2 linked regions of the Kluyveromyces lactis genome follow. The protein of the gene in region 1 interacts with the protein of each later gene in a pairwise test. Links are inferred from orthologs where the notes say so. Each region holds a gene or a part of one and is shown on either strand. Other genes may lie near its edges.

Region 1 (6,792 bases):
TTTCATTTCTGTTTTCTTTGTTATACCTATTTTATCATTTCGTTTCCTTTTCTTAAAATTCATCTTTGTTTTTTTTGGTTTTTGGAAACATACTATTTTCTTGGAAATAACCCATCTCGATCGATATCTTTTAAAGGAATTTTTTTTTTGATAAAAAAAAATTAATTACTTCCTAAAGAACAAAAGGGTTACATAAAACTTTCAAGAAACAAAAGAGAAGAGGGAAAAGAAGGAAAAAAGTCTCATTCTTCTTGTGAATCATAGGAGTACAGTCCTGTTTCAGAACATTATCAATTGTATTTTGTAACAGTGAGATAGGAGTTGCGTACTTCACTCGTTCACGTACCTGGAGAATAGCAGTTTATTCTTCTATTTTCTGCTTCCCATCCTTTTGTGATTGGTTAAAAAAACAGTGAACTCATCCACCAATATTCTAACCTTAGAGAAGAACTCCAGTCGATAGAGAGACACCACACAGTTCAACAATTATTCAGCATTTTGTCGAAAGCAAAACATTGTTTTCTTTGGTGATTATTCTGTTCTGCTATTTAATTGAGTTTCTTGAGCGTTTGACAAAAAGTGAATCTTCGCTCTTCATCTCATTTATCGTCTTTTTTTGGCATTAGTGTTACTTTAGTGCACATTTCCACACATTGATCATTCTTACGACGAGGCCATCATTCATATGCCAATAAGCAATATCAACTCAAATCCAAACTCCAATAACATCAACGAAAACCCCATGATGATCCATCCTTCCTTCGATACAACTTATCAGCTGCATCGTGGATTCAGTACTAGCTCTGAACAGTTATCAGCAGTTAATCCCAGCAACGCATCGCCAACACATGCAAATGGTTCGACAATACCTCGCCACCACTCGGACCACAGTGGTTCACCACTAAACCTCTCATCGGTACTGAACACATTATCCATTAACACTGGAAATCAACCACAAACCCCATCCATTGGTAGTTATCTATTGATATTGCGCAATATTCCTACCGACATAAACTTGAGGGAGGCTTATGCCCTTTTCTCATTGGCTCATGGTGTACTATCCATTGATGTGATACCTCATGAAGATAACCAACCGTACGTGGTGGCAAAATTTGAATCTCAGCATTTGGCATGCCAATATGCCTCTATTCTTAATATCAAATCCCAAATATTCGGTCCAGCATATCCATTCAAGGTGGCGGTGGAGGTCATCGACGAATTAACTAATCAACAGCTGTTTTTCCAGACAAACTCACCTCAGTTGCAGCCACAACTGAACACAAACTCATTTCAAATACCATCATCCGGAAGCGTATCCTCAAACGTTGCTCCAACGTTGACATCGCCTCCCCAATCATCAAGTCGGAAAAGGCCCAGTCTGCTAGGACAACGGTCTAGATTCTCATTTTCTGATCCCTTCAGCGCAGAAAATCCACATATTCCACCTGCACAAACGTCTGCTCAAACTCCACTGCAAAACATCGATGCTGGTAAATCATTCTTGTTAATGGAAGGAGATGGCATTAATGACACAATTTGGGGATCAAACCCTTCACTCTCTACTGTGAACAACATGGTAAATACCACGTACAATCAACAACAACAAAATGCAGTTGTAGATTGGTCTGCATCCAAGAATGGTGCTGCTAGAAAGCAAAGCAGTTCCGTTTTCTCTGGCCCTCAACAGGCCAATTCAAGTGCGACAAATTTACCGCCAAACTCTGATCCATCTTCACAGGTCGGTGTCGCCCAACAGATGAACGGTAGGTCCTCAGCTTCTGTGTCTTCTAAACCTGTAACACCAACTTCATCAACGTCGCATACTCCTCATAAATCTGGCAGCAGAACCAACATTAGTAATTCTTCATCTGCAACTAATGTTAACGCTAACAACTCTACTCAGTCACAACCTATCACCAGAAGTGTGGCAAGTGTTTTACAGAATACTCCTGGAATTTCTCAGGTGGACTTATCGTTGTTAGCAAGAGTTCCTCCTCCAGCCAATCCAGCCGATCAAAATCCACCTTGCAATACACTTTATGTGGGTAACCTACCTCCAGATGCCACCGAACAAGAACTACGACAACTATTTGGAGGTCAAAAAGGATTCAAGAGGTTATCATTCAGAAACAAGAACAACAATAACAGTGGGCATGGTCCTATGTGCTTTGTTGAGTTTGAAGACGTCGCACATGCTACAAGAGCTCTAGCCGAATTATATGGTAGTCAATTACCAAGACCAGTTGGCGCACACAACACCAAAGGTGGAATTAGATTGAGTTTCTCTAAAAACCCACTTGGTGTTCGTGGTCCAAACAGCAGAAGGAGTGGAAGCAGTGGTTCTGGCCAACCAACTAGCAACTCAAATAATGCTCAAAATGGTAAAACTATCAGCGGCAATCCAAGTTCAAGCAACAATAATAATGGAAGCACTGGTAGTAACAATAGTAGCATTGCCACTCTTGCAAATGGAGTCACTAATGATCTAAAGTCATCTACTACCAATTACTCCTACGAAAATGCATTCTCCAAATGAAAAATATTATAAAAAGATCATCTTCCCATTGCCTTTTTCTTACACTTCATATTTACGTCGTCATAACCCTTTTTTGCGTTGTTAAAATGACTTATGTTCGCACTTGAAGTCTTTATTGATCAATTATGTCTTGTTTCCAACTCTTTAATGTTATTTTGCAACCATTTTTCAATTCGGTTAAATCTCTTTTCCTATTATTTCCCCCAGTGCCTTTTCTCATCGTCGCTGAATGAATGTTGTTTCTTGATGTTTTTAATTGCCATCGGGAACATTATTTTGCATTTTTCGGTTTTCTTAGTTCTCTCCAGTTACACTAGCTATTTTTTATCTTGAAGCACTGGATGAACATAAATTTTTCACCAATCTTTTTTATCTCATAATACTATGTCATCTGAACAGATAAATTCCATTTATTGATAAGTGGCACGAAAATACCTTAACTCATTATTATATTATATATATATATATACCTGTAACAGTACGTATATTTTTCTGATTTTTACATCACCATCTTAAACTCATCAAATTTGGAAACAGGTAGCAGATCAATCTAGACGTGACCGTTTGCAATATACAAAATAATCAATATTGTTTAAATTACATATGAAATCGTTTCAGGAACCAAACACTTCGACTTACAAAAATGCCAAAGAAAGATATCAAGACTGAATTCATTCTTTTTTGCTGATTATCGAAGCTAAATCGTTATAGGTTTCCTCTTTCTTAATGTAAGCACCTCCAGAAGTTGAATTTTGTTTAGTTGTATTAGTCTGGATAGATTCTTGAGATTGACTATGTGAGTTTTGTCTTAGTAGCTTTTCCTTCATCTTCAATTCAATAGCCTTTCTTTCAAGTTCTTGAATTCTCTTTTGTAACTCTTTGGCAGATTGTGCCTCCAATTCTTCAAGCTTTTGTTTCCTTGCTACTATGCGCTCGTGCTGAAGCATGTATGGGATATTTTCGGAAATATTCCGTAACTTTGTTCTTTCTGGAGAAGTTTGAATATTGGCAGGAGTAGATTTCTGTGAACTGGCAGAGATTGAAGCGCGAGACTCATCTCCTTCATCTACCCCGGTTAGACGTGGTGTAGATGGGGTTTCAGATTGAGGTGGAATTGCAAGTGATTGTTGAGACTTAAACTTTCCTGTATTTATTAGAGAGGCGAAATTTGACAAGGATGGAGCTGTACTGTTTCTAGTCAACCCTTTCATCAACCCTGAAGAATTACCCTCATTGTTTTCGTCATTGATAGAAGTATCTATAACTTCGTTGTTTTCAATGTCCCAGGCTGGCACAGACGCCAATTTCTCAGCACGGTAGTTTTCATACAACAGATTTTGTGTCGTGTCCTTAAACTCTTGCAAATGGGACCCGAAGAGAACCCTTTTCAACAATTTCAAGTCCGAAATGTTTTCATTATCGATGTCAATTTTACCCCATGGATACTCACGATAGTATTTACCGGTAGCATTATCGCGTTGGTCGGCGCAGATAATAGCAAACGGCTGAAGTCTCGCTAATGCCTTGTTCTCTTCAATTGTTTCTAGATCATCCTCATTTTCGTCAACTTCGAATTTGTAGATAGGAACGTTAAATCTATCAATGTCTTCCATAATTCTCTTCTTGAACCTAGTCAATTCATCAGGTGTGAACGAATCTGCTCTAGCGACAATTGGTAGAACATTTGTGTAGCGGGATAGTCTCTTCATAATTTCAACATCCAATTCACGTAACCCATGTCCCGTGGGTTCAATAAAGTATAACGCGACATGAACTCTTGTATCCTGGAACCTTGGATTTCTCTTGATTCTGGTCTCCTCAGCGAGTACCGAATCAAATTGTTGCTCCAAATATGAAGCAATCTCATCGAAACAGATCCCATTATTTAAGTTTTCACCCAGTCCCAGGGTGTCGGTGAGAAAGAAATTGATCTTTTCAGGGGTAGCGCTATCGATATCCTCACTAGATTTCGTCGTGATCTCCAGGGCAGTAGACGTCACAGTGATACCTGGTTCCAAAAACGGCGAGGCTGGATCAAATGCCGACATGTAGCTGGGAATACCGTTCATCGAATTGAACGTGACAACCTTAGTTGGTTGGATAATCTTAACATTCTCGTTATTCGTGCTAGCTGGAACATCTTGTTGATATCTATGAGGGAAAATGGTAGATTCCAATAAATTGTTAGCGAAAGTGGTCTTACCAGTACCAGAAGCACCAACCAACATCATCGAGAAAGTAATACCTCTCTTCTCCTTCTTTCTACGGAACACACTGACCCCATTGTTGCTTGGTGAGAATACCTGAGATACAGGACTAGCGGACATCTTTTTATTGCTTCCAAGATCAAACGGCTTCACTTTTCACTTCCAATTATATTCTAAATAGAATCGCCAAAGTACAATGATTCCTATCCAATTGATTGAAACTCGTCTCGTTCAATGGTTCACTTGATTAATGTAGCTCTGCAACGTATAGAATACACTTTTTTTATCAAAAGACGTTGTTGTTTCAGTCAAATTACATTCTCGTCTAAATTTAAATATGGAATTGATATCTTTTACGTGATATTAACCGTTTCGAAACTTTTCACCGATTAAAAGGCTCGAACATAGCCATGGGAAATGAGACACTCAAAGATACCTAAGGCAAGGACAAAAGTTACCAGTGACATGGGAACATCAAATGGTTACAGTTCGATGAACCACATATCGTAACTAGTCTATGTATTGGGGAACTAAGGCATATATACATATATATGGCGCCACTTCTTCACGTGACTTATATTTCTGTCTCAGTGATGTGAATGTATATGTCCGTCAGTGGATTACGTTATAAGTTGATAACGATCTTCGATCTAGGTCCGGCTAGCTTTGGTACTGCCTTGGTCTACATATGAAAGGCTTCGGATTTTAGCCCTTGCAGAAGGGCTCTATGTGTTCAATGAGATGCGTCTTTGTTTTGCAATTTTGTCGCTTTTAGTTCTTGCTAGAACATAAGGTGATGCAATGTGGAAATGTTGCACCTTAACGAAACGAAAGATAGAGAGAAAGAGAGAAAGAAATACACAGTAAGCGAGAAAATCTGCGGAAGCGGCAGCATACTTAAGGTCTTTGAACTGCTTGTTACGGACTTCAAAGATCGGCCCTCCCCTGCTACGTACACATACTGGAAGAGCCATGTCTGATATCGGGAGCACTTCACATAGTAGTCCGACAGGCATCATGCATCATCAGATCAAGCTCGACGTATTTTTGATCAAGGGTTACCAATTGATATCCAACGGAGAAGTCTTGGAGCTTCCCGAGCTATTGAATTCCACGATTAGTCCGAATCAGCAATCTCCTATATCGCTGAAACCCTTGGACGAACGTCATATGCAATATTTCCAAAGTCTCTCACAACTTTACGATGCTCTAGTGACAATCGTACCCTTAGATGAACAATCGAACGTACCCAAATCAAATATCGAATTGTTTCAGCGATTTCAACAGATATTGAAAGAGATATTGCTAAGTTATGACGTGAGCCCGTACAATCGGTATTTTTTGAAGTTGGATGAGAACAACTGGAAGATACGGGATAACGTGGACGATCCTCTATGGCAGGTATTATCTTTCAACATCGACAAAGTCTACGACAAGACAACGGGGTTAATAACACCGTTGAGGAGGCCAGGGAAAAGTACCACTGCGTCTGCTAGGGAATCGCCCGTGCTTGCCCCCAGACGTAAATCGGTTGTAAATACAATCACTTCACCGGACTTTTCATTATCACAGGTGGATAATAAACTGGAACAAGTGAGTAGAGTACAAGATCAGGATTACTATTCTAACGTCCAGGCAAATGCCAACCAAAGTCCCAATAGCCAGTTTGATTGGCCCAGAGCAATGACCGAGAGTACCAATGGGAAAGCTATGGAACAGATCAATGAGGAAGAGCAACCTGCGAGAAAGCGAGTACGGAAATATATCACTAGAAAAGATTCCGACGTCGTGGGAGATGTCTTGCAACTACAAAATACACCACCAGTCAGTGACCAAGAAAAGACATCATCTCTAACTGAGGTTACTATAAGGACGTACGAAAAACTGTTGCAAGAAAAAGACCGTCATATAACAGATCTAAAGAACGATTTAGAGGAACAACGAAAAGAGATCATTTGGTTGAAGAAGTTAATCATGGAAGATATGAAATATCTCCGTTCGACAGTGAGAGCAGGGAACAACCAATGAACTCCTTACAAAATAGCATAT
Region 2 (6,045 bases), on another chromosome or scaffold:
ACTAAAAATCATACGATATAAAACTAATGACTGGCAATGAATGACAATTGTTGTAATATTGAAACAGGTTATTACAGTGGGGATCTATAACGAAAAATTTGCCTGGATTCTTAATCTAGAATTTTTAAGATTTCCATGTTTTATTAATATTAGACAAACTCAACTCATCCTTATACTTGCCACAATTTGTTCACTTTCACCAGTTCATCTCAGAAGAAAAAGCTCATTAGGTCGATATACCGTTTGCTATAGAGGCATAGTGGAATAGCACAACATCCGCTCTATCAGGCAAAAAACATTAATACTAACAAGATAACAATATTTCGATATTACTTTAATTTTTAAACAGATGGCTGCTTCTCTACACCCAAAGATTGTTAAGAAACATACCAAGAAGTTCAAGCGTCATCACTCTGACCGTTACCACAGAGTCTCTGAAAACTGGAGAAAGCAAAAGGGTATTGACTCTGTTGTTAGAAGAAGATTCAGAGGTAACATTTCTGAACCAACCATCGGTTACGGTTCCAACAAGAAGACCAAGTTCATGGGTCCAGATGGCCGTAAGGTTGTTCTTGTCTCCAACGTCAAGGGTTTGACCCCATTGTTGATGCACACCAAGACCTTCGCCGCTGAAATCGCTCACAACGTTTCTTCCAAGAACAGAATTGCTATCTTGGCTGAAGCTAAGAAGAACGGTATCAAGGTTACCAACGCTAAGGCTAGATTGGCTTTGGAAGCTTAAATGTTTTAATATCTAGGTTTTTAAATTGTCAATATAAACTATCAAATCACTTCTTAACATAATTTCTCTCATATTGAATTGAATTGAATTGAATACATAAACATCCTTTCGTTCATTTACTCAGCTTACTCAACTAGTTTCACTGTCATTTCACATTTTTATATGTTTGACGACGGCATCAAGCGTGCATTTTTACTCACTAATAGTTGGACTTTCCACGCAGAGTTGAGTGCTGACATCGTATCGATGTGATTGGAATTACAAATATATATACTTCATGTATTCAGTGGATATCGTTGTACCTGTAGCTAGTTAAAGACAAGGGTCGGTGGTATTGTGCCAAATAGTACCTTGTCCAGCTCATTGCAATTGAGAAATCATTTGATGGCATGCGACAAATTGAATATAGGACAGTTGCCAAAAGAGCCTCTATAAACAGAAGAAAAAAAAAGGATGTAAAAAGAGCCAGAAAGAAAAGTATCAATGACGGTTGCTGAGTATATTGGGATCAATTTGAAGGAGAATTAGTTCAATATCTTTCGTCTCCCTTTGTTTTCAATGAGTTGTTTCAACGAAACAACGATGAAAAGAACAGCTGTGTCACAAGATGAACAATTTCAATACTAACTCAAATATCTTGTCAATGTCTTGGCTAGGGGAAAACATAGTACTAATGGCTGTAATGATAATACAATAACAATAATGAAGAATGATTTTAGCCGCATGAAGAAATCCTGCAAAGAAAAGAACAAACAGGTTAAAAAGTACGGGGGTAATTAAAACAAAAGAAACAGACGTAGATAAGAAAAGAAATACGAATATAATTCATAACAACATTTCTATCAAAGTCGAGAAATATGTTGTCATATATTATACGATGGTTGATAGTTCCCTCACTTAATCAGAATGTATCCTAAGATAACCAATACCAAAGTAAGAAACCTATAACGATCCAAATGACCACGGCCGGTGCAATATTCGACGTACTAGCGGGTTCTGCAATAATTTCAGTGTTAGCGCTGGTATCAGATTTGACCTTTTCATCGAGCTTTGGTTCACTTTCCACAACTTTTGGCTTTTCAGTATCCAGGTCAGTATTGGCAGATGCAACCGGGACAGATTTCTTTTGTACCGGTTCACTAGCGGACTCTTCTGTAGCTTTCGAACCACTAGCAATAGTTTCCTTGGCTGAAGGAATGACAGTCTCAGTTTGCACGTTATCAGTTTCTAGATTTTCCACGACTCTTGGTTCAGCATCTAGTTGATAATTTACCTTAATCTTCTTTGACAGGCCCTTGTTCTTGAACTCTGCTTCCAATTGAGGCCAAGCTTCGGCCACACTCAGTTCACCTAAATCGTAAGGAGCTGGCAAAGCTATAACCAAGAATTTATCTTTACATTTGAAATCTGGTGTAGGTTCTTCCTTCAATCCTAAAAGAATCACTTGAACATCAACGCTTTCACCGGCTGGCACCAAAGCGGCATTAGGTCTTACACAGTATACCTTAGGAGCTGTGGTCTTCACCTTAAAGGCAATTGTTTGTTCTGAGTCATTCTTGATGGTAATATGCTCAGCTGCTTGGCTAGTGAAAGGTGCTATTACGAAAACAGAGAGGTAAATCACATTGAATAATGGAATCGCAAAAATGATCCCATTAAACATTGAAATAATGATTTGGAAGCTTGTTAGTATATCGAATGCATAATAACAGAAACATAATATTGAGTATCTAAGCATCGGAGAATAATTCCATGTGGTTGAGGATATGGAACATCTATCAGAATCCCTGTAATCCTTCTAAGTATTCATCCCATTATTTGTCTCTCATGCAAGAAAAGTGAGCCAATATGGCCACACATTTGACCACACGAAGTACACTTTCAAATGCTAAACACCATATTTTGTAACTGATCATATAGTAAAGTGGTTTTTAATCCCTTTAAACCACTGCTCAAAGCGACACATACGTTTGTATTCCAATACACTTGGAGTAATTTCAACCATTGTAAACTTATAATAGTGAGAAACAGTTTATACACACTTGTGTTAGAGCTGGAAAACTAATAGACTTCCCGAATCTAACGAAATAACAAATCCCAAATAGAAAGATAAACGAATTAGATAACCGTACCTGATAATCTTCGAACAATTAACCTAGGAACCGATCACTGTAAATCCTGCCAAAAACTAAGTCTCTCTGTTCTTAATTGTAATCGCTTAGTTCAACTTTTCTTTGTTTGCAAAATGTCAAATTCGGGTATTTATGTGTGAGGGTAACCACAACAAATGAAATGGGCACTGAACCTCGTTACGTAATTATCATGCAGCGAGCAGTCGACACAGACTTCCCTCTCACTAAGAGCATTAAGCATCTTTTGAGGTACCAACAGTGCACGGTTTGATTTCAGTTCTTTTATACTTTATATTCTATTTAAACGAAACTGAATTTACCTAGATATGCATATGTTGTAGCGTTTGTTATGTATTGACTACGACAAGTCTTATGGTATCTTTCAATAGTCGTCACCACGAGAGACAATTTCCTTCTTGTGAGGATGTAGGATAAGGGTGTGTTCGAATTGAGCCGTATATGAGCCCTTAATATCGTTCAATGGTGGGTAGTCTTCTACAATACCTTGCCTCACCAATGTGTTCAAAGCGTATACGTGCTTGTCTTCGCCCAATCTATCCAAGTAACGACGACAGAACGGTATAGTTCCAAAATTTTCATCAATAACCTTTAATAGATTCTTGGCACTCGATAGGGATGGTGTTGGATGTGAACCGGGTTTCTTAGCATAATGAGAGCATTCTCCCTCTTGTATAACATACCCACGACCGGTACTCCCGAAAGTTTCGATAGCGAAATGTTCGTTTTCTTCCATCTTTGTGTTGTCACCGTTCTTGACAATTGGCACAGATTTACCCCCATGAATCGAATAAGGATTAATGTTGTGGCCGCACAAATTCCTGCATGGTTTCACTTGGTGTGTCTCACCGTTAATTTCCACTTCGTACGATTCCATCACTTCTTGAATAGCTTCACCGATATCAGTCAACCTAACGTCGATACCTGCCTCTTTAATACCAGTATTGGTTGCATCCTTCACAGCAGCCAACAAATTATCGTATTGTGGATCGAATGCAATAGTAAACGCAGAATCGATGATATAACCATTAACATGGACACCGAAATCAACTTTCATTACATCCTCGAACTTCAACACGGTCTTGTCACCAGCATTAGGAGTGAAATGAGCAGCACAGTGGTTGAGCGATAGACCAGTTGGGAACGCAATACCTTGGCTCTTTGGTCTATCAACGTGATCCCCATTGGCATCAGTGCCAGTAAACTTTCTAGTCCCGTCTTCCACCAAATTAGCAATCTCAGTCAATGTCATACCCGGCTTGATCTTATTTCTAACACTTTCCCTTACACGACGGTGAATCTCAGCACCTTTACGCATATCATTACACCTTTGTTCGTACTCTTCACTTCTTTCCAAGTATCTCCTCTCTTCATCGGTAACTCTTTTCAGATTGAAATCTTGATGGTATTCCATCCACTGTCCCTCAGGGTATTTCTCATCAGGGTATATTAAAGCAATGTTCTTCATATTATTACCCTTCTTCTTCTTCTTCTTCTTCTTTTTCTTCTTATCCTGCACGGTAGCATCCTCTGTCACTTCACTGTCATCAACAGCTGCAGGTTCAGAAACCTCAGGAAGTGCATCTACAACAATCTCTTTGACATCTGTATCAGCCACCATTTTTTAAACAACTAGAATTGATTTCTGCAATATGGGTCTTTGCAGAACTTGTCTGTATAACATCGGTCACCTCATCTCTTTATGACCAGAGTATACGTACCATTGCTTTGTTACCTTTATATTCTCTCAAGAATTTCAATCTTCCAAAGCTTTAAATTTTTCAACATGAAATTTGACGAAATGAAATAAGATAAGAAAAACCAACATCTGAGCAGGATTCCAAACTTCAAAAGAAGCCATTCTCTGCACTCTTTGAACCGACACTTATAACGGGAAAGTTTACTAGAACTAACTGCTTGTGGTGGATATTTTAAAATTTAGGTGAGGTCTAACGCGATCTTATCGGGCTACGGGACTTAACATTTTGAAAGGATAGGAAAGCAAATCAAACCATGCTAACTGCAAGAGGGTTCCAATTGGGTGCCAGCAGGACATCTACTTTATTGTCCAGACAATTTACACAATGCACTATTAGGAGACAAGAAATCATAGATTATACAAGGTTGACTCCGCTATCTAAAAGTGCAAAGGAATCGTCAAACGGATCTAGGAAAGACATGTCCTTTTCGGCAATGATGCAGTCGCCAAGAGAAGATACTTTGAGTTCCAAGCTAACAGGAATCCAAGCTGGAAGAACTATTGATGTCTTTAGCGGTAACACCATGGCTGCTTTCCAAAGGCTAGGGTCCATCGTAAGATCGAACTCCATTCAAAAGGACAAGAGGGCTCAAAGGTTCTATTTGAAGCCTGGTAAGGCAAGAGAATTGAGAAAGTCTCAAAAGCACAGAAAGGAGTTCATGAAGAGTTTCAAGAACTTAATAGAGGTGGTCAAGGACGCCAAGAGGAAGGGTTACTAAATGGCTTTATATGGCTTCTTATGTAGATACATAAATCATGTCGAAACGAAATCATCTCTCTCCAACATGTATATAGTTTAACAAAAGACAGAAAACAAAAATATTTCAAACAACAGACATTTTTTCCAAATAACATCAGTGACTGGGTTACTGCGGTGAAGCTTAAACTGTATTTCTTATCTTTTGTACATTATCTTGCGTCCTTCTTTCTATCGTCTGCATGCCATAATATTTGAAAAATCAATGATTCTTGCTTGATTCTTAGGACCATATATCTTTATGCAACACAAAATAAGGAAGTACAGGTAGTTTCTCCTACTGACGAGATAGCACCTTAAAATTAACTATAACGTAGTACAGGATGTCATCCAGTGTACAATCTGGGGTCATCACACTTCTTCATACGGCATGCGGGGCTGGTATCCTTGCAATGCCTTATGCTTTTAAACCCTTTGGATTGATTTTGGGTTTGTCAATGATTATATTCTGCGGCTTGTGTTCCTCTACGGGGTTATATTTACAATCATACGTGTCGAAATACGTTCCTCCTGGACATGCCTCGTTTTTCACTCTTTGCAGATTAACTCGTCCTGAATTGAGCGTCGTTTTCGATGCTGCAATTGCTGTTAAATGTTTTGGGGTCGGAGTTTCATATTTGGTGGTCGTTGGAGATTT

Evidence for each region.
Region 2: the proteins of SHS1 (region 1) and SCS22 interact in binary tests that used the Saccharomyces cerevisiae proteins (3 or more experiments, as listed by UniProt). The link is inferred for Kluyveromyces lactis from reciprocal best matches to the Saccharomyces cerevisiae genes SHS1 and SCS2.

What each region holds. Positions count from the first base shown.
Region 1 is NC_006042.1:1,937,760-1,944,551, reverse strand, and holds SHS1 (septin SHS1), read right to left. Parts: upstream 4,864-6,792; coding exon 3,208-4,863; downstream 1-3,207. Other genes in the region: KLLA0_F20834g (uncharacterized protein), read left to right, coding at 686-2,536; GCR2 (Gcr2p), read left to right, coding at 5,716-6,771. UniProt on the Saccharomyces cerevisiae protein: Septins are GTPases involved in cytokinesis that assemble early in the cell cycle as a patch at the incipient bud site and form a ring approximately 15 minutes before bud emergence, which transforms into an hour-glass shaped collar of cortical filaments that spans both sides of the mother-bud neck.
Region 2 is NC_006041.1:622,352-628,396, forward strand, and holds SCS22 (phospholipid metabolism-regulating protein SCS22), read right to left. Parts: upstream 2,481-6,045; coding exon 1,656-2,480; downstream 1-1,655. Other genes in the region: RPL32 (60S ribosomal protein eL32), read left to right, coding at 350-742; MAP2 (methionine aminopeptidase), read right to left, coding at 3,257-4,513; MRP21 (mitochondrial 37S ribosomal protein bS21m), read left to right, coding at 4,906-5,370; AVT5 (amino acid transporter), read left to right, coding at 5,732-6,045. UniProt on the Saccharomyces cerevisiae protein: Acts as an endoplasmic reticulum (ER) membrane anchor for cytoplasmic proteins via binding to the FFAT motif of targeted proteins. Regulates phospholipid biosynthesis by modulating the subcellular localization of the transcriptional repressor OPI1.